2 linked regions of the Nothobranchius furzeri genome follow. The protein of the gene in region 1 interacts with the protein of each later gene in a biochemical or structural test. Links are inferred from orthologs where the notes say so. Each region holds a gene or a part of one and is shown in the gene's direction. Other genes may lie near its edges. The genes, in order: dvl1a and frizzled-7-A.

Region 1 (11,041 bases):
CGACGTGTTCAGTCCTAAACTTTGCTGCTAGCTTTGCAGTTTTTTTTACCCCCTCAATTTAGGGGGTTGTTTGTGTTGCGGCGAGCCTTTTTACCATGACGGATGATGAGACGTACGTCAGAATTCAGCTAAGAACTATGGAGATACAAGTTAAGGTTCAAATCGCGTCGCCCTATTTTCTACTTTCTCTGGGGCGAGACCCGCTCAGTCTGCCGCTGTCGTTGTGTCCTTGGGCAAGACACTTAACCCACGTTGCCTGCTGGTGGTGGTCGGAGGGACCAGTGGCGCCAGTGCTCGGCAGCCTCGCCTCTGTCAGCGCGCCCCAGGGCAGCTGTGGCTACATTGTAGCTCATCCCCACCAGTGTGTGAATGTGTGTGTGAATGGGTGAATGACTGATTGTGTTGTAAAGCGCCTTGGGGGGTTCCAGGACTCTAGAAGGTGCTATATCAAATACAGGCCATTTACCATTTACTTAAACAATCACTTAATGCAGTGGAAAGGTATAAGTATTAGCGTTTGCCTGAATATCTATAAAGTTTTGGAAGCAGGAGTTGTTTTAAAATGGTGAATGTTCACCTTGGAACTCGAGTAATCCTATCAGACCAAGCAGAGGTCATTTAAAGAGCTTTTTATTATAGGTGAAACATCCTTTCCACAGAATCCCATTTCAGAATACAGTAAATGTCTTTTTCACAAGCGTGATGGAACAAAGAACATGTTGGAACGTGTTTACACTCATCTCTATTTCTTCAGACCGATCAGTCTTACTGTTGCCAAATGTTGGGATCCGTCTCCACGGAGTTACTTCACCATCCCTCGAGGTAAAAAAACACTCTGGTGTCGGATTATAGTTGCTCTTCCTCACAAATCCAGCGTTGATCAGAATATTCAGAGCACTAAAGCTACATCATTTGTCCTGTTTGTTTGATTGGTTAAGCTGAACCAGTGAGGCCCATTGACCCAGCGGCTTGGATCTCGCACACCACGGCCCTGACTGGACCCTACCCTCACTACGGTAAACTCTCTCCTCTGCGCTTACGACTGAATTTTAAAATGCTGTTCTAATCGTGACGCGCTAGCTTGGTTTTCTTTCAGAGTTTGACGACTTGCCTCTGTCCGCAAGCAAAACAGACATGGCAACCATCGTCAAGGTGATGCAGCTGCCTGACTCAGGTCTTGAGATCCGAGACAGGATGTGGTTGAAGATCACCATCGCTAATGCAGTCATTGGTGAGAAGAACAGAGTAAAGCCGAACTTTTTATAGATTTGAGGTTTAAAAGCACTTTACTGGAACTCGGGCAGCTCGGGGGTTGATGTGGTTTGTGAGCCGTTTGATTGTAATTCTTTAGCTTGGCTGAACCACCTGCTGTCATTGCTCGTGTGAGTGTGTTTTAAGCATGGACCGAGTTTTTAGTGTCTATCACTGAGTGTGTGTGTGTGTGTTTCATCAGGTGCTGATGTGGTCGACTGGCTTTACTCCAGAGTAGAAGGCTTCAAAGATCGACGAGATGCAAGAAAGTATGCGAGCAGTTTGCTGAAACATGGCTACCTGAGGCACACAGTCAACAAAATCACCTTCTCTGAACAGTGCTACTACACGTTTGGAGACCTCTGCCAAAGTACGGGCAGGTTTTCCAAAACCCCAATGGTTCCAGTCAGTGTCTCACAGGGATGTGACTGTTGGAGACCAATCTGTGCTCACAAATAACTCCACATGTTGGTCAAAGGTTTTAGAATTTCTCTCAAGAGTCTCAGAGTTTAAAACACGATCAAAAACGAGCCCAGCAAACTTTTTCTTGAAATAATCGCAGAGTTTTGCAGGCATCTGAAACCCGTGGGAATCTTCTCACTTTAGTTTCCACGACTCAGAAAGTGGCTGGTGATTAAATTGCAGCAAACTTGTTTGAACAAACTGAGACTTAATTAGGTTTCCAGGAAAACTGCGATTCGTTTGCAACTACAACTAGGGTTGTCACGGTGTGAGAATTTAACCTCACGGTTATTGTGACCAAAATTACCACGGTTTTCGGTATTATCGCGGTATTTTTTTAAACGTGCTACATTTTCACACAATTAAATAAACCCTGTATATCAGGAAATATTGTCCTCAGTTTGTGTCTAAATTTAGCCTAAAATGTGTTATTTTGTAATTATGTTGTTTATTTGTTTACATTTTTCCCCTTTAGTCTTTAAAATACCAATATTTGCCCATAACTTCTTACTTTTTGTCTGTTTGATGTCATCATTTTAAAAATATTAGATCAGGTGATACTCAGTACTCAAGTAGCCTTCTAATCAGATACTTTTTTACCCTTACTTGAGTAATAAACCCTATATCAGGAAAATATTGTCCTCAGTTTGTGTCCTTCCAGTGAGCTTTGCAGATGTGGGAAAATGTCATCAGGCAGTAATCGTTGTTAAATTCATAATTATTCTCGGAGAGAGACCAACTCTTATCTGCCCCTGGGAGCCCCGTAATGCATAGCGTCATTTCAACATGGCGGTGTCCGCGACACGGTTTATATGCAGGTAGCGGCGCTGCGGCTGCTTTATATAGCCACTCGTTGCTTTCTCCCTCAACCCAAATCCTCGGATCACGCATTTTAGCTAAAACGCTAACGTTAGCTTGCCTTGCGTTGACTGTAGAGTTGTGGGTGATGGTCACGCAGATGTGTCATGAGATTTGAAGCGTTGCTGCCTTTCACAGACACTTTTTCTGCACGTGCTGCAAACAGGATAGCCATCTTCTATCAGCTGTCCCTCGGCATTCTTCAGATATCCAAAAGATGCCCGTACTTCCCACTTTGTCTTCTTTGAGGGATAATAAATGTCCGGAGCGCTGCCGTCTCCTCCTTTGGCCATTATTTCAGCTTTAGCTTCAAGAAAGTTTTGGCTATAAACAACAAAGTGCACATGTGCTGCCAGCAACTTCAGCAGACGATACGGTGGCTGGTAAGGGTCACCGCGCCTACACCGCAGCCACGGTAATCCACCGAGATTTTTTATTTTTTTAAAACAAGACGATTATTATTATTGTCAACTTTTTTACCGGGGTTTACCGCTACACCGGTTACCATGACAACCCTAACTACAACACATGGTCGTTTTCAGGGATCTAACAGGTGCTTGAAATGTATAGAAATGAATTTAAATGTGGTGAAAGTGAATAAGTTATTACTGAATGTGCTGAAAAATCCTGAAAACTTGCCTGAGAATGCTTGACGAAAGCTTGAGTTTACTTAGTCGTTAGGTGTGGAACGTGCACACTTGGTCTGATTCACACAGTCTTGTGTCTCCAGCTGGTCTCCAACAGTCACAGCCCAGTGCAGTGCTGGCCTCCACCTCTCACACTGGTTGTGTCTGGAGTGAGAACTGTTCTCTGTCTTGTCTAGACATGGCGTCACTCAATTTAAACGAGGGATCCAGTGGCGGAGGATCTGAGCAGGACACTTTGGCACCTCTACCTCCCACCGCCAACCCCTGGCCTCTGGGGGGACAGCCGTTCCCCTACCCTCCTTTTCCCTCGGCACCCCCGAGCTTCCCGCCAGGCTACTCCGACCCGTGCCACAGTTTTCACAGCGGCAGCGCAGGCAGCCAGCACAGTGAGGGTGAGCACTAAAACCTCATATCTCTGACGTCTGTATTAACAACTGTCTGACTAATGTTAGCTCCTCTGGCTCTCTGAGCCGCTGCCTTCCCCCTAGTTACGTTTGTGTGTTTCTAAACCGCGTCCTGTGTTGTCAAGGTCAATCATGAGCATCATGGGTCACGCAGCGGACAGCTCTGCAGTACTGGGTGTGTACACACACACACAAAAATAAACCCGATCAGCCGTGTGATTCCAAATCATCAGTGATTCCATCCTTCTCTATCAGCCCGTCAATCATCTGCTTTCATTTTGGATCAAAATGTGATGCTGCTGCATGATTTTAATGGTCTGCATTGAAGGAGGAGGGTGTGCACATGCCTCAAGCTATGAATATAGCACTTGAGGCAAAATAATTCAGAATTACCACTTCAGCATCTTTGCTGTCCTGTCCTGATATGGTCACATGTTGCTTTCACCTTCTTTATTTTGATTTTCTGCAAATAAATAAAATCATTTCAGTTTATTTATATATCATAACACGAAACATTTCTAACATTCCAGTTGAACCTACTGTACATTATGTTCACTTCATATGCCAACTTTACAGTGATCTCCATGCTAAGCAAGCTTGTAGCGACAGTAGAGGGGAAAACTCCCTTTGAACACAACCTGGCAGCCGTCTGCCACGACTCACTGGGGGATGATTGAAAAATGCTTAGAGGTAGGGCTGCTCAATTAATCAAATTTTAATCACGATTACGATCTGAGTTTTGAACGATTATAAAAACAAAACAAGCCGATTATTTGCTCCTCCCACTTGCGCTGCCCTGAGTTGCAAATGAAGCGCTCCTCCCACAGTGTTGCCAACTTAGCGACTTTGACGCTATTTCTAGCAGCTTTTCAGACCCCCTTCTTGACTTTTCAAATCTTAAAAGTACCTAGTGAACACCTCAGAAACATCTCTGGTAACCCTTAGCTACTTTCTGGATAACTGTCGTCGACATTTCCTGCAGGTTAGCTAAACACTCCGCCTGTGCTCCGGACCGTTCATCAGGACATTAGGAAAGGGAATGATGCAGTGATGTGTCGGTCGCTAAAGAAACGGCTCTCAGAGCCGGCTCCTTGTTGGAGTAACCAGAGTGAGTGACACACACCGTACCTGCGGACTCCTGAGCCGCTAAAAACTGCTAAATGTGCGCGTGTGGCGCGCTAAACACACATGCAGCTTGCCCCGATTGCTGTGAGACCGGGGTTGGGGGGTGGGGGGGTGCAGCTGTGGTTGGGACAGTTATTACATTAACTGATGGACTTGTAAATAATTATTTATAAATAAGGTAGAAATAAGTTCCTCACGCTGATAAATAATAACTAATCTCTATGAGGACACGGTGCTAGTGCACTCTCCTACAGCACCTTGACACGACTCAATAAATGTTATGCAACATTTTGTGAACATAAATTTATTTGTTATAAATGCTACTGTATAATTCTTGCTGTCAGTATTTGCAAGATATTGGTATTTGGGTCTGTACTGGTTAGACTTACGTGAGTTAAACCAAGGTCTACAGCCTTTGGGTCATAAACTATGAGCTGTAAGTATACTGGTCTTTTTACACAGGAGTTATTTTAGTGATCATCTTGTTTCTTATTTTTGTCCTGATTGTGCCCTGAGCAATTTTATGAATGAATAAAAACAAATAAAATCAACATAAATTGAAAAATCGTCCTAAATGATCGTGATCCCAATTTCAGTCACCATAATCGTGATTATTATTTTTGCCATGATCGAGCAGCCCTACTTAGAGGTTTAGTTTGTTTTGGTGCTCCTAAACTTAAAGGGATATTTTAGCAAACGGTTTTCATTGTAAAAATGATAAATATTTATATTGTAGATCGCTTCCTGAACAGCCTTGTTCGAGAAAGAAAGAGTACATATTACAGGACTGACTAGCTAGTGGCTAATGTGAAAGAAGCTAAAAACAACGTTTATTATTTAACTTAAAACAGCTCCAGTCTTAAAAAAAAGTCCTTATTTTTGCACCACCACCACACGTTGTTTCACAAGGACGTTTGTGGTGGTTTAAAACCGTAAATATCAGGAGTAGCTTCATGTAGCCGTGCATCCAGGGGTCGAGTCCCGTGGACGTTTAAATGTAGCGGCTGTGTGTGACGGGTAACACGTCTCAGTACAGACAGAAGGACCGGGAGCCTGTTCAGGAACGAGGGGCTGCGACCTGGATGGGAGAGAGGGCGTTTCAGCTCCAGCAGCCTCCTGCTGCCCATGGGCACGGAGGAAAGCAACCCGCAGCAAGCAGCGCAGCAGTGTGCTGTTGTTGGCTAAACCAGCAGCGATGACTGTGATCAGGAGGAGATTGTTGTCACGTGTGTGTGAACGGCTGTGAAATTCACAAGCTTGGAGGTTGGAGATGCACTTTGGCCGAGGCTGCTAGGGCCGTCGAACATGAACCATTTCTTCAAACTGAGGTTTTGATGGAAGCCTTCTGCAACTTAGAGGTGACTCACAATGCCCCCCCCCCCCAAACTGCTAAAAATGCCCTAAGACTCCTGCTTGTTTCATTGTGTGCATGTGTTTGTTTAAATTGTTGTAGTCAGAAGAATAAAGCAGGACCGCTCGTGTTAGTCTGAAGGCATCGGAGCAGGTGTAGTGCCGTGTGTTGGTCAGCGTGGGCTGGGAGGTGTGTGTAATCCTATTGTTCCCTCTTGTTTCTGCTGGGCAACGTTAGACTGAAGGAGGAGGTAGTCCCGGGACTCTGGGGGAACCGGTAAGCCTGCTAACCCCCATCCTCCTCTTCTGCTGCTCTCTGTTTCCATCCAGTCTTTATTCTATCCCTCCTCTCTCTCTCTCCTGTCCTCAGCATCCTCCACCTATCATACTGCAGCTTTAATCCCCCCCCCCCGCCTCATGATTCCTCCGTCCATGTGTATCCCGTGTGTGACTCTCCTGACAGTCGATGCTTTCCCTCCGCACCTCTGGGCATGCGTTTGAACTGTACTGGGAGGTGCATGAAGCAGGATGACGAGTCTCAGGCTTGTGCTGGGACGGGACAGCCATGCACCACTCTGCCCAGTACTGCAGACGTGGAGGAGGTGGTTTAGCAGAAGCATGGTACACCTCCATCAGTCTGGGAATTATCAGCTGTTAAATCAGATTTGATGTGAACCACGACGCACCTGAGACAAAGTTCAGATGAGTGGCATGTCGCTGATGCTGGTGTACCACTGATCCTGATTATCCGTGAATGTGGTGGTGTTTGTAAAACGTCAGATCAGCTCATGATTAGTGGCAGTGGGTGAAACCTTTAGGATAATCATTTCTGCCCTCGACGCTCTCTGGAGCACTTGGGGAAGTGTCTGGTCACACCTTAAACAAAGTGCTTCCACGTGTTTCATCGGTGCGTTAAACTGTATGTTGGAGTTTTTACACCAGGACGTGTTCGTGTGGTGTGTCGCAGCGGTTGTTTAACGTGTGACCTCGTTTCTCTGCACTAGCTGGTCTTGAGTCACGTGTGTCCGATGAGTGGCTCTCGCCGCCTTTTCTGGGGTGTTGTGCGAATGCCACAAAAGATTTTCCTAAAGTGTTCCCTGTTGTGTTGTTGTTTTTTTTCCTCAGGAAGCCGAAGCAGTGGATCCAACTCCAGCGCAGGCAAGGACAGACGCTCTCCGCAGGAGAGGTGTCAGAGGACAGCATGCAGCGAACCAGAGCCCGGTGTTCGTGGAGGGAGGCGCGGTGACCGGTCCGCCAGCCAGATGAGCCACCACAGCCACGCCCTCTCCAGCCACAGCCACGCCAGGTCGAGTCTCAGTCACAGGAGCCCCTCTTTCTCTCAGAACAATCACCCCCCCTTCACCTATAGCCACGCCCCCTTCGCCCAGCCAAGCCCAGGCTCCTGCGCACAGAGCGAGCGGAGCCACGCCTCCTCCTACGGCCCCCCAGGCCTGCCTCCCCCTTACTGTCTGGCTCGTCTGGCTCCCAAAACCTCTGTCAGCAGCAGCACCCCCCCTGGGGCCCCCCCTGGGAGAGAGTTAGCAGCCGTTCCTCCTGAGCTCACCGCCAGCCGCCAGTCGTTCCAGCACGCCATGGGCAACCCCTGTGAGTTCTTTGTGGACATCATGTGACAGGACAGTGCCTTTAAAACAGAGAGCACAAACCCCCCCCTCCTCTTAGCTTCCTGCTGTCTGATGTCCACAGGAAGTACCTGCTGTGTTAGCACAAACAGCGACGTCGCCACTCCCAAAGCACAGGTGCTCTGCTGAGGAAACCAAGCGACTCTTTCCTGTTGACGTGTACAGTCTGTGAAACGTGAGTGGTGTTCAGTGCGGTGACGTCTTTAAAGCTGCCATGCGGACATTCTGGGGAGGTTTTTCTCTACCTGGGATGTTTTCTGTTCTGCGGGACCTTTAACGTGGCTGGGGCTGGATCTCAATCCTCCAGACCTGGGTTGTGTGCCGACTCATCAAACTCTTGTTTCTGTTGCCAGCAGGTGGTCTGAGCTCTCCCCGTTCAGCCTGAGCGGGTCCTGGCCCGGCTGTCAGCCAACGGCTGCTCAGTGCGTGACCGTCTTAACTGCTTTAAATAAATTTAATGAATTAATTTTGTTTTAAAGTATTGTCGGCTCCAGAGGGTGAATGCGTACACTGGATGGCGTTGTGGTGTTATTTATGTGTTCATGTTGCGTTGATTTGGTTTGCCTTCAGCAGCTCACTGACAGACAATCAGACACCACACTCTGTGAGGCCGGGGCCGCTCTCCACTGACGTAGCTGTGCTGCGGTGACGGCACCGTTGCTGCGGACGTTCGCCTGCTCGCGTGCCGATCACCAGTACCTGCTGTGAGTCAGTGAGAAAAGCCAAAGGCTCACATGGTGTGGTGGGTATTTCTTAATGTCTGAGCGGTTTCTGATGCCAATCTTTTATTTTTCATTTACTCGTTTTAATTTTGTGATCATCACATCTCTACCAGTTTAAACCGACTTCGAGGGGAATCCCGACCGACAATAACAATGGCAACCCCGATTTATTCACTTAATCACACACACACACACACACACTTGTTTTATGAGCACTTATGTTTTTGTCTCCCTCCTTTTAGAATGAAACACTGTTTGCAATCAAAGCTTTCTTTAATTTTGTTTCGCAGCAAAAAAGGAATAAATTGTACATAGAAAATTATATATGAATTAAAAATATATATGTTCAAAGATGTTTAATTGGTGCTTTTTTTAATACCTAAAATTACCAACTACAGTCATTCATACAGATTTAGATTTTATATATGAACCAAATGTTTGTTCTTCCATCACACACCGCTGGTTTTCAAACCAGGGGTCGGGGCCCGATTTTGGGTCATGCAACACAAGGCGTGGGGTCTGGAGCAGATCTACACGGGACTAAATAACTCCCCAGTGGCGCATTTACACTCAGGTCCTTAAATATTGGGACATGGACACTGCTAACATTTTTTGGCTCTATGCACCACAATGGATATCAAATGAAATGAACAAGATGTGCTTTAACTGCAGACTGTCAGCTTTTATTTGAGGGTGTTTACATCCAAATCAGGTGAACGGTGTAGGAATACAACAGTTTGCACATGTGCCTCCCACTTGTTAAGGGACCAAAAGTAACGGTACAATTGGCTTCTCAGCTGTTCCATGGCCAGGTGGGAGTTATTCCCTCATTATTATTATTATTATTATAATAAAAGCTGACAGTCTGCAGTTAAAGCACATCTTGTTCGTTTCATCTGAGCGCTTATGTTTTTGCCTCCCTCCTCGTTTCACTAGAAACAGGCTCGACTCATCTTTTTAGCTTAGCTTTTAACTGAATACTATCACTTTTTAATTAATGAATTTAATTATTTAGGTTATTTATTTATCTAATCATTATTTATTTAATGTATTCTTTCTTTATACGTGCTTTTTAAACAGTTTTTTACCTTGATTTATGATCAACATTTTAATATCTATACAACTTTTGAGATTAAAATTCTCATTTTAGCTCTTTTGATTTTACATTTTAATCTTAATTTAACCTTTTTCCAGTGCTTCCTCTGTGGGAGCCCTCTGCCCCGGGAGCGGTGGTCAGCTGTGGCAGCCTCGGTGCTTTCCAGGTGTGCCTAGGTGGAGGTGGGGGTCTCTGCCCTCCCTGCCCTGGGCGCCCTGTGTCAGTGCCTCGGCTGCTGCTGTGGATCTGCTGCTGTCGGGGCGGATGGCTCCCCTGATGGTGTTTCCTTATCCTTATCTTAGCTGGTCTGGCTCATCTGATCTCAGTCAATCGTGTTTTTTACCATGGGGAAGGGGGCATGTGTGTGCCGGAGGATGAGTGTTGTGAAGGGTTTTTATTGTCAGACTGTTTTTAAAATTTTGGGGATGGGAGGGAATGCAGGGCCTTTTTAATCTGTTAAGCACTTTGAGTTGCATGTATTGTACGATTAAGTGCAATATAAATAAAAGTTGATTGATATCCATTGTGGGGGTGCATGGAGCCAAAAACGTTAGCATTGTGTCGATGTCCTAATATTTATGGACCTGACTGTAGCATAACTGTTGGGAAAAGCTAAACACGGAAGTCATAAGCTTACTTTTTAAACTAACAGTTGGATGTGTTCACGCTTCACCACGCAGGGTCACAAAGCCGAGTTTTATCATGTAGATCCAAAACTTAAACGTTTGTCAGTTTGAGCTGACGGAAGAAAAACTTCAATAAAATGTGTTAATTTAAAAAAAAAGTTGAAATGTTTGCATAAAAGGTTGGTCTTTACTAACAAATACTCCATTCATGCTTTTATTTATTTAAATAAAACTTGTTGCTTCAAATGAATACAAATGCAAAGAGGACTTTTGTAGGTTTTAACACTAAATGTTAATTGTTTGGGATTTTTTTTATTAACTAGAAAAAGCTTTATGAAAATGTAAAAGTCTTGTGGGAACTCTAACGTATGCGTGTCTTTCGTAAACCAGTAAGGATTAAACGGACCTGTGGGCCGTTTGAAGGTAAAAACCTAGATTCACCACTAGGTGGAGACATTCTGCTCTAATAGATCTAAACTGTTTAATAGGAACAACTGTAAATAAGAGCATTGGTTTTGGACAGATGGGATTAAATCATTGGAGTGATTTTAAATGAAATAAATGTTTTAATTAGTAGTTTTTTTTAGTCTGATCAGCTGATGTGAAGAAGCCGGTGATGCTCTTTAGACGGTGATGTGTCGGTGTGTCATCAACATCTTATTTACTGTACAGCTACCACCTCTGTGTGGAACTTCCAAACACCGGCTCGGCTGCGTGTACTTTCCTAGTGGGCAGATGTTTCAGATCACTTTACATCACACACACACACACACACACACAGACCCCCAGTCTGCTGACCCACCAACCACACACACACACAGATGTGTGAATGAGATGCTGCGCTCCCACACATGACGGGG
Region 2 (11,026 bases), on another chromosome or scaffold:
GACAAGATGGGTGAGTCCATTAATGTTAAGCGACAGTGTGACGTAGATCTGTCAGGATTTTCTAGTCCCAGAGTTTTTTATCAGAAGCTAATGCAGGAGGTAGGTGTAGGAGACTTTTTTCATGTTCAGCCTGCATGGAAAACTCAGAGTGACTGATTATTATCAGAAATAAGATTTTAAAAATGTTTTTTAGTGTTCCACAACATTCAAATATGACAGCAATAAATGTGCACTACAATAAATAAAACAATGAAATACTAATTTAGTGGTTTCTTTCAATTCTGATGTTTCTGTGAATCTCTGGGCTTTCTAAACACACATTTTGCACCTAAAAACCATTAATAAATGTAATTGTCAGAAATTCTTGACATTCTGGTTAGACCAGCTTGGTCAGCCAACATGCCCTAAGCTGAAAATCTCCCCAAACCAAACTAAACTGTGTTTTTCCACCTCAGCTCAACATTTAAATAGTTGTTCAGTCTTGGGTTTCACATGGTAGCTCAAATACTTCACATGGTGGTTACGCTCGAATGGAGCGAACTTGGTCCAAACCATCAAAATCGGTGACTGTGTAGATCTCATCGTGCTTCGCTGTAAGTTTACTTGTTTGTTTAACCCCCTTTGTTTTGTTTCTTTCTCCAGCAGACTGCAGTACAAACAGCGACTGTCTGGAAGCCCGCTGAACGGCCTCCAGCTGCTTGACCACTGCAGACACCATCCACAAACAAACAGCTCCAGCTCCACATGATGAAGCGTGTCCCAATTGACCCACTGCAGCTACTGACAGCTGGGTTTACACCACTGACAAAGCCTTGCAATGCTGCAACACTTTCCCAAAAGTCCGTTCACATGCTTTTTTATGAATGATGTGAATCGGCACCTATTGCATAAATTACTTCGTCAGGCTGGTTTGATGTAATTCACTACAGAACTCAAATAAATCACCACAGAACAGATTCAAATGATCTTCAGCTGTTGTAAAATTCAGCTGTCATCATTTAGCATCACGCGGTTCTAAACCAAAAACATTTGGCTCCAGTTTAAACTGCTGTTTGCACAAATGAGATGGGATGTTTTATTTTTCAATCAATGTGTGAATTTAATCAGAAATTGCTTTGGCGTGAAATGACTTGCCTTGTAGAAAAGAGCCAAAGATGTAAGATGTGTTTGTTAGGCTGTGATGCAATTTGCAGACATTTTTGCAAAAATAAAGACAAAAACAAATCATTTTATTTGGCTCAGATTCCACTCATGAGCAGCTCTTGATTGATCCAAGACAACTGTCTGCTGAGGAAACATTTTGGAATTAAACCTTTCAGAAACTTAAAGGTGTGGTTCACTCGTTTAACCAATACATTTGCAGTCGGTCTAGGAGTAATCACCTTGTAAGTTATACTCAGGGGAAACAAAGCTCCGGTGCACTATGTTTTAGGAACTAGAAGTGAGCCACATCAGAGCTGAGCTTTAGACGGCAGGATTTGGAGTCTTATTTTTTGAAATTTGGACATCTAGCCGCTGATTGGTTAACAGCAACATGACTCTAAAACTGACTCGGTTTGCTCTGCAACACTGATATTTTATCTCCACAAATAATACAAGCTTGTTCTGCCGTGTGGTGGATTTGCTAATGCTAACGGTTAGCTTCTACTAGTCAAGACGTTCTCTGCTCTTTCCTGGATGCCAAACCAACGTCGCGAGTCAAGTTGGGTGAGTCCATGAATGTTAAGTGACAGTGTGATGTAGATATGTCAGGCTTTTCACATCCTAGAGTTTCACCGTCTATTTTCTATTGGGAGCTAAAGCCGGAGGAAGGTGTAGGAGACGTTTTTCATGTTCAGAGTGCATGAAAAACTCAAAGTGACTGATTATAATCAGAAATGATAATTAAAAACTGTTTTTCCAGTGACCCACAGCTTTAAAATTGAGTTAAATGTAATTAATATAACAGAAATACTGAGTTTTGTTGCGTTGGGGGAGTTTTAATCTGTCGGTGTGTTTAGTTATTCACCATTTCTTTGTTATCCAAACCACAGAAAACCGTTCAGACCTCTCCTTTTGGTTGAACCTCTCCTCCTGCTTCTTCTTCCTACTCCCCCTGCCCTCTGTGACCTTTTCCCTTCTTCCTGTCCCTTCCCCCATGGCATCCCACCCCCACTCTCTTTTTATCCCACTCAGGGCAGAAAACACCAAATGCAGAAAGGCCACCATCCACCCCTCCCACACTGGGACGCCTTTGGTCTGATTGATCACGCTGCCACCCTAAATTACAGCTGCTTTGGCTGTTGTACTCAGTTCCCACAAATGGTTAAGGAGTCCCGTTTTATTTGTTTGCAACGAAACATGTAGAAGTGCTTGTTCATCGTTTCAGATGCTGAATTCGTTTGGGTTTCTCTCATTTTTTCACGGTTTACTCACTGTGCTGTGGTGTTTATAAGTCCTACACACAGTGAGAGGCTCTGTGCAACAACTCCTGGAGTTGGAAGGAATTCAGCTTCACAGGAGCACATTTGAGAAGTCTAGACTTAACTGTTCAATTGCAGAAAACTAGCCGTGAATGTGAAGCTGAAGCTTATTTTAAGAAGAAATGAAAAAGTCAAATGAATGTTGAGAACTGTTGTTAGTATGTGCCATTTCTTTAAGTTCCTTCTCAGGAACTTGTGATTCTTGAAGGTCTTTTGCTTTCACTTGTTCTCCCACATCACATCACCCCGTTTCTCCTCCAGCTTCACTGGCTGCCAGTCAACTTCAGGGTTCATTTCAAGATCCTGGTTCTGGTCTATAGGGCCTTACATGGACAAGCACCATCTTACATTGGAGATCTTCTTAGTCCCCACACCCCCAGCAGGTCCCTGAGGTCCAGTGATCAAAGCCTACTGGTTGTGCAGCACCAGGCTAAAGGTCAAAGGTGACAGATCATTTGCTGCTGTGGCCCCCAGACTCTGGAACTCTCTCCCCCTGAGCCTGAGAACAGTGGACTCAGTGGTCTCCTTCAAAAAGCAGCTGAAGACTCACTTGTTCAAGCTGGCTTTTGTATGACCTTCTTCACCTCTCTCTCTTTATTCTGCTCTCCCCACCTATTCCACCTTCCTCAGGATCCACTGATTTCCCTCTTTCCTGTTCAATCTCTCCCTTTCTTAACATTTTTTTTAACCAGAATTGTCTATTTTTGCTCATTTTAAATATATTTTTAAACATTTTCTAAATGCTTTTTTATATTTTTTACATTTTTTGTTTTTGTGAAGAGCCTCATGATTTTTATCTTGAGAGGCGCTATAGAAATGATATTTTCTTCTTCTTCTTCTTCTTCTTCTTCTTCTTCTTCTTCTTCTTCTCAGCTCTATTTATCTTAAGTCATCATTCAAGAACAAAGAGAAGAGCTTATTTGAGACTTAAAACATGCACCTAAAATGTTTCAGGAAACAGTGAAATGGAGGATAAAGGGAATGGTAGTCGGCGTGGAAAACTAACCATTTAAGACAGACGAGCAGTATCTTAAACAGATATAAGAAAAAAAAGGTCCTGAGATAGGGCCTGAAAGATGCATTAGCCTTCAGTTAATGGGAAATTTCCAGCTCCTTTGAAATCACCTTGTTTGGGAATCGCCATGCTGTTACAAAAATAGTCTTCCATGAATGTCAAGCTGTGTTATTTTATATCATTATTACAGTTATTATTATTGATGCTGACTGTAGACATATCTATCTATCTATCTATCTATCTATCTATCTATCTATCTATCTATCTATCTATCTATCTATCTATCTATCATCTATCTATCTATCTATCTATCTATCTATCTATCTATCTATCTATCTATCTATCTATCTATCTATCTATCTATCTATATATCATCTATCTATCTATCTATCTATCTATCTATCTATCTATCTATCTATCATCTATCTATCTATCTATCTATCTATCTATCTATCTATCTATCTATCTATCTATCTATCTATCATCTATCTATCTATCTATCTATCTATCTATCTATCTATCTATCTATCTATCTATCTATCTATCTATCTATCTATCTATCTATCTATCTATCTATCTATCCATCTATCTATCTATCTATCTATCTATCTATCTATCTATCTTGATATAAGTTGTGCTTTGCTAAAATTAGACGACAACACACACAAGTTGCAGTTATTTACAATTCATAAAATTATTATTCATCAAGATGTGTACTTTGACTTTATGATATGAATTATGTTTTACTATTACTTACAGTACTACTGACCTACAGTAATATATAACACTTGCTGTTATAATGTAATAAGTAACTTATATTTCCACGTATGGCCATGAAATATTTATTGGAATATTTTCTGGCACAAATGTATTTATGGTATTCAATGTTAGCCACTTGAGAAGTGAAGTATTTAAATACTATTTATTTTAAATACTTTTGAATAATTGATAAAAAACGAACATACATTCATCTCACCGGAAAACTAAATTGATTTAGAGAAATCTCTCGTGTAATGTAATTACTGTAGCATATATTCCCATGGTGGGGAAGTAAAGACCAATCAGGAGCGAGTCCTGTAGGAAAACAAACGCTCTGATTGGCTGAGACGATGTTGTTGGTTTTAAGGCACCCCGTGCTCAGGTGGATGGGAGGGGGTCCGGTGAATGGAACGGGTGCCTTGAAACCGGCGGAATGCGCACGGAGAGAGAAGAGCGGAGCCTCTGGACTTCTGACGCCCATCATGTGAGCCGACACTCGGCGTGAAGTTTAGCCGAAAACGCAGGAAAATTTAGGCCGTTTGTGGTTTGATTTTGTACCGCTGCGCGGCTCTAGCACGTAGAGCGCTCATGACCCTTTAGTTCGTGGAAAACGGGAGTCGAAGTGTTGTTTTCCCGGACGAGGAGAGAGTGGACTGCTTGGAGTCACTTACAAAGAACATTAAGAAGTCATGACACGACGGACGATTTTCTTTGATTTAACTGCATGAAAAACGAGGGAAAGTTGGTCCGGGACATTTTAACTCTGATTTTCTGAACCGCGAGTCAACATTTTGGACAATTGTTGCAGCTGTTTGCCGTTTTGAACCGTTTTTAAGTCTCGCCACTCGGATCAAAGTTTTTCTTTCCCTCCCCCCTCCTCTTCAACCATGGCGGCGGCCAGGCTCACCACTGGCTCCGTGTTGCTGCGGTGCGTGTGGCTGATGTGGGGGCTGGCTTTCTCACTGACTTCTGCTCAACATTACAACAGTGAAAGTGGAATATCCGTTCCGGAGCACGGATTTTGCCAACCCATCTCCATCCCGCTTTGCACCGACATCGCCTACAACCAGACCATCATGCCGAATCTCTTGGGCCACACGAACCAGGAGGATGCTGGGCTCGAGGTGCACCAGTTCTACCCCCTGGTTAAGGTGCAGTGTTCTGCGGATCTGAAATTCTTCCTGTGCTCCATGTATGCCCCAGTTTGCACGGTGCTGGAACAGGCCATCCCCCCGTGTCGGTCGTTGTGTGAGCGTGCACGGCAAGGGTGTGAAGCCCTGATGAATAAATTCGGCTTCCAGTGGCCGGAGCGGCTCCGCTGCGAGGCTTTCCCCGTGCACGGAGCCGGTGAGATCTGCGTGGGCCAGAACACATCCGAGCCCAGCCCGGTCTCCTCACCTCCTTTCCCACCCGAGCCCGTCACCCTTCCACCCATAGGGGACCGACCGACCATTCATCGTCCGCCTCAACACAGCCCTTACCACCAGTTCTCCTGTCCCCTGCAGCTGGAGGTGCCTCCCTACCTGGGCTACAGATTTATGGGGGTCAAAGACTGCGGGGCCCCGTGCGAGCCCACTAAACCAAGCGGGATCATGTATTTCCGGGAGGATGAGGTAAAATTCGGTCGTCTGTGGGTTGGGATCTGGTCCATCCTGTGCTGTGTGAGCACCTTGTTCACGGTACTCACGTATCTGGTGGACATGAGACGGTTCAGATACCCGGAGCGGCCCATCATCTTTCTGTCTGGCTGTTATTTTATGGTGGCTCTTGCCTACGCGGCAGGGTTTTTCCTGGAGGACAAAGTTGTCTGTGTGGATAAATTTAAGGCTGATGGCTACAGGACTGTGGCTCAAGGAACCAAGAAGGAGGGCTGCACAATCCTATTCATGGTGCTTTACTTCTTTGGAATGGCCAGCTCCATCTGGTGGGTGATTTTGTCCCTGACTTGGTTCCTCTCTGCTGGGATGAAATGGGGTCATGAAGCAATAGAAGCCAACTCTCAGTACTTCCACCTGGCAGCATGGGCGGTCCCAGCCATCAAAACCATCACCATCCTCGCCATGGGCCAGGTGGACGGAGACGTCTTGACTGGGGTGTGCTTTGTGGGGATCTTCAACGTGGACGCCCTCCGTGGGTTTGTTCTGGCCCCGCTTTTTGTCTACCTATTCATCGGCACGTCCTTCCTCCTGGCCGGCTTTGTGTCCCTGTTTCGGATCCGCACCATCATGAAGCACGACGGCACCAAGACGGAGAAACTGGAGAAGCTGATGGTGCGGATTGGAGTGTTCAGCGTGCTCTACACTGTGCCGGCCACCATCGTGATCGCCTGTTACTTCTACGAGCAGGCCTTTAGGGAGCACTGGGAGCGCACCTGGCACATGCAGACCTGTAAGCGATTTGCAGTACCCTGTCCAGTTCACAACTTCGCCCCCATGACCCCAGACTTCACCGTGTTCATGATCAAATATCTGATGACCCTGATAGTTGGGATGACCTCCGGGTTCTGGGTCTGGTCTGGAAAGACTCTTCAATCTTGGCGGAGATTTTACAAGCGTCTCAGTAATGGCAACCATGGAGAGACCACAGTGTGAAGTTTGGATTATTAGGCCACTGATTTTTGGATACAGTTCCATGAAAATGAGGTCAAATAGCTTTCATTTCAACACTTTTGGTTGTTTTTATTTGAATCTTCACGTTTCCAGGTTGTGGTAACAGTTCACGACAAAACTCATCCAAATTTTAAGGAAGTTGGGAAAACTTCTGGTATATTCCTTTCTCTGTTTTTATTTTCGTCATCAGAAACCCCATAACATTTGTACTTTTTGGACCACGATCGGCCACGCTAGGACTGTATCCTTATATCCACATATATATATATTCTTATATTACAATTTGAATGTATTCCCCGTCCACTTCTGAGTGTCTTAGCGCACTAGCTGAAAAGATTGACGTGTCAAGCAGTGCGTCTTAACTGCAGCGAGAAGGTCAAAGGTTTATTTCCAGCCACAGCCACATCCGCTTCCAGGGAATCGTTGCCTCGACTACACGTAAGCTACTCTGCTTTTAGCTGGAGAATGGAAAGCTTTAAACGCAGAGTACAATCTCATCATTTTTAATAGTTGGAATAATTCACTCACTCATGAATTTGTCTACGTGCCAAGTGGCTACCCAGAAAGCAGTTTTAAAGGAAATCTTTTGTTTTTAATGTTCCAGACTGATGAATATTTTCTCCTGTTCTGAATGTTCACTCCGAAGATGAATGAAGTTACGTTCAAGTTTGCACAGTTATTCCAAGTGTATAGAAAAAGTCTGTTACCCCGCAGATTGACCTGGATCTTTCGTTTCGAGGAGACCACACACACACACACACACACATGCACAACCTTAAGACACAACGGCTCATTGTTGGCCCCTGTGTGTGGTCCCTCTACAGTTCGGTTGCCTGTTTAAAAGACATTTTTAAGCGTGTAAGTCGCCAAAAACACAATTTCAGCGATCCAGATTTAATCCGTGTTTGTTCTGGAGCTCATACGGTGTTTTATTCTGACTATACAGCTCATACCTGTTGTCTCACGGTAATCGTCTCACCTTTTTTCATCACACATGAAGTGTCTTTACAAGCAGACTGAACATTTTACAGTTTTTATTGAATTATTATTATTGTAGCTTCTAGGCTTCTTTACAGAGGCCTTAAACACAGAAACTGCATGCATTTTCTCTGCCTCTGGTCTTTTTTAATGATTTGAAGTTCTGTGTTAGAGAAATATCATGGTGGAGGTCAAAGGTCACAGCCACGTTGGGAAATTTTAATCTGGACAATGCAATGTAGAGATATCACAAAGGACAGAGGCATCTCCAACAGGTAAACAGTTGGTTATGTACTAAACGAACGTTGAAAGGCCTTGGTTGAGTACTAGTGGTCAGCAATAATAACATATTCTCAAGACTAATAAAGCTAGGCCACAATTATTAGGAGTCTGCGTTTCCTGCTGTTCAGTGGACATTAGAAATATGTGACTTCACTTCTTTGACTAAATGAAATCTGGAGTTTTGTGGGGAAGCTGAGTCAGCTGCGTATGCCTGCCAGAACCTTCTGTTTCTTGTCAAAAAGCACATTTTGTTGCATGCTTCACTTAAAAATAAGGAATGGAAGTACTCTGCAGCGACGCGGGACACCTCACGGCGTTGTGACCATCTACAGAGTTGGTTTTATCGTTATTTTAATGTCTAAAGCTCCCCTGGATCTAGATGCGTTAATTTTAAAAATGTGCATACTTTATACCAGTTTTCATTCTGCATTTGAAAGCAGTTTGTAAATAATTTCTTTTTTGGATGTACTACATACCTCAAGCTCTAGTTACATTCTGCTCAAGTAATTGAGTTAGAAAGCAGGTGAAAACTTCTTTACATCCAGTCGTTACGGTTTTACAGTGATTCTGTTGGCGTCTTTGTGCAGCTGAGGTCTGCCGGTGTCGATAATACCAGACTGACTTGTTTGTATTGTTCTGTTTTCAGAAGGAAAACTGGTGTTTGGTACCAGAACATATGCAAACCAGCGAGTAAACAGACTCTAATTTTCTAAAGCATATTGTATTTATGGGGATACTCATTTTTTTGTTGTTGTCTTTTTTACTTGTATTTTTTAAAAATGAGATAAACCCATTGTATGTGTACAGTTTGAATAAAAGTGATAAAGTTTTTAATGTGTTGACGACTGTCGTTTGTGGTCGGATACGTTCAGTTTAGAATCAGCTGTTGACAAAACAGTCCTGGTGCAAGCGAACCTTGGCGTGGGAGTATTTGGTCAACATCTGTGGTGTTTAGTGTAAAATAAACGAGAAGTTGCCCAGCGTAAAGATGCTGCCTCAAGCTTACGCTCAACTTCATTATTATGGGGTGATGGTTGCACAGGAGTTAAGTGCTCGCTCCGTAATCGGGAGGATGCAGGTTCGAGTCCCGCTCAGTTTGTCTCTGTCAGTGTATCCTTGGGCAAGAGATGTAACCCGCCTTGCCCGCTGGTGGTGGTCAGCAGCCTCGCCTCCGTCCGTGTGCCCCAGGGCAGCTGTGGCTACATCGTAGCTCTTCCCCACCAGTGTGAGAAGGACTGTTGTAAAGTGCCTTGGGCGGTTCCAGGACTGTAGAAGGCACTACAAATACAGGCCATTTACAAGTTATGTCTCTTAGCATGAAATCCTCAAAGTGCAGCAAAACTTTTAAAGATGGAGCACATAAAAAACAAAAATATCATCTAGTGTCTTGGCAGGATGCTGGTGCGAAAGCTTGTCTGCATTCTCAGCTTTCATTATACATTTCTAAAACTGACTCGTCTGGCATCTATAAGTGAGTTATTCCTTAAAGTACAAAAAAAAAACACCTCAAAATAAAATGAAAATAAAGCAAAGTACTATAAACCCTAAGACGCTAGTCATTTTAAATATGTAAAGAGCTTGGATGATACACTATTCCCCAAAATAATGAGTCCATAATCTAGAAATATAAAACTGAATCCTAAGAGTCACTTTATTCCAATGCTCACTAAATCTTATATTCATGAAAAACACTGCTACCACTAAAATGAGATACAAATGATTAAAGCTACAGGATACACGGCCCTTCACCAAACAATGTGTTAAAAAACTCATGTTGAGAGAACTGCAGAGACTTTCAGGGAGTCAGTTATACAGTCTAGTGTGGTGCTGACCTCTAGCGGCAGCAGTTGTTACATGCAGTCTGTAGGCTGCATTCATTCGTCACATTATTTCAGTTAGTTTTCCTGATTTTATTTACTGTTTTTTATGTTTACATTAAAGTCAAAATTATGTTTGAATACCTGAAAATAAAATCATGAACGCTGATGATCAACAAGTGCTTTGAAGCCTCAACACAATATTACTGAAATGTAGAACTTCAACCCAAACAAGACAAAGTTTAAGAAAAATCATGTTAGAACATAATATTGTTCTAACAATAACATTTTCATGTTTGAACAATTTAATATCACATTCTGACAATATACAGTGGGGCAAAAAAGTATTTAGTCAGCCACCGATTGTGCAAGTTCTCCCACTTAAAATGATGACAGAGGTCAGTAATTTTCATCATAGGTACACTTCAACTGTGAGAGACAGAATGTGAAAATAATCCATGAATTCACATGGCAGGATTTTAAAGAATTTATTTGTAAATCAGGGTGGAAAAAGTATTTGGTCAATAACAAAAATTCAACTCAATACTTTGTAACATAACCTTTGTTGGCAATTACAGAGGTCAAACGTTTACTATAGGTCTTTACCAGGTTTGCACACACAGAGCTGGTATTTTGGCCCATTCCTCCATGCAGATCTTCTCGAGAGCAGTGATGTTTTGGGGCTGTCGCCGAGCAACACGGACTTTCAACTCCCTCCACAGATTTTCTATGGGGTTGAGGTCTGGAGACTGGCTAGGCCACTCCAGGACTTTCAAATGCTTCTTACGGAGCCACTCCTTTGTTGCCCGGGCGGTGTGTTTGGGATCATTGTCGTGTTGGAAGACCCAGCCACGTTTCATCTTCAAAGCTCTCACTGATGGAAGGAGGTTTTGGCTCAGAATCTCACGAGACATGGCCCCACTCATTCTTTCCTTTACACGGATCAGTCGTCCTGTCCCCTTAGCAGAAAAACAGCCCCAAAGCATGATGTTCCCACCCCCATGCTTCACAGAAGGTATGGTGTCCTTGGGATGCAACTCAGTATTCTTCTTCCTCCAAACACGACGAGTTGTTTATGCCAAAAAGTTCTACTTTGGTTTCATC

The links.
Region 2: the proteins of dvl1a (region 1) and frizzled-7-A form a complex in vitro, tested with the Homo sapiens proteins (2 studies listed by BioGRID and IntAct, with this or other methods). The link is inferred for Nothobranchius furzeri from reciprocal best matches to the Homo sapiens genes DVL1 and FZD7.

What each region holds. Positions count from the first base shown.
Region 1 is NC_091755.1:40,816,306-40,827,346, forward strand, and holds the end of dvl1a (segment polarity protein dishevelled homolog DVL-1), read left to right. Parts: intron 1-754; coding exon 755-822; intron 823-938; coding exon 939-1,016; intron 1,017-1,096; coding exon 1,097-1,231; intron 1,232-1,453; coding exon 1,454-1,621; intron 1,622-3,394; coding exon 3,395-3,610; intron 3,611-7,222; coding exon 7,223-7,728; 3' UTR 7,729-7,760; downstream 7,761-11,041. UniProt on the Homo sapiens protein: Participates in Wnt signaling by binding to the cytoplasmic C-terminus of frizzled family members and transducing the Wnt signal to down-stream effectors. Plays a role both in canonical and non-canonical Wnt signaling.
Region 2 is NC_091754.1:11,119,092-11,130,117, forward strand, and holds frizzled-7-A, read left to right. Parts: upstream 1-4,890; 5' UTR 4,891-5,123; coding exon 5,124-6,827; 3' UTR 6,828-7,044; downstream 7,045-11,026. UniProt on the Homo sapiens protein: Receptor for Wnt proteins.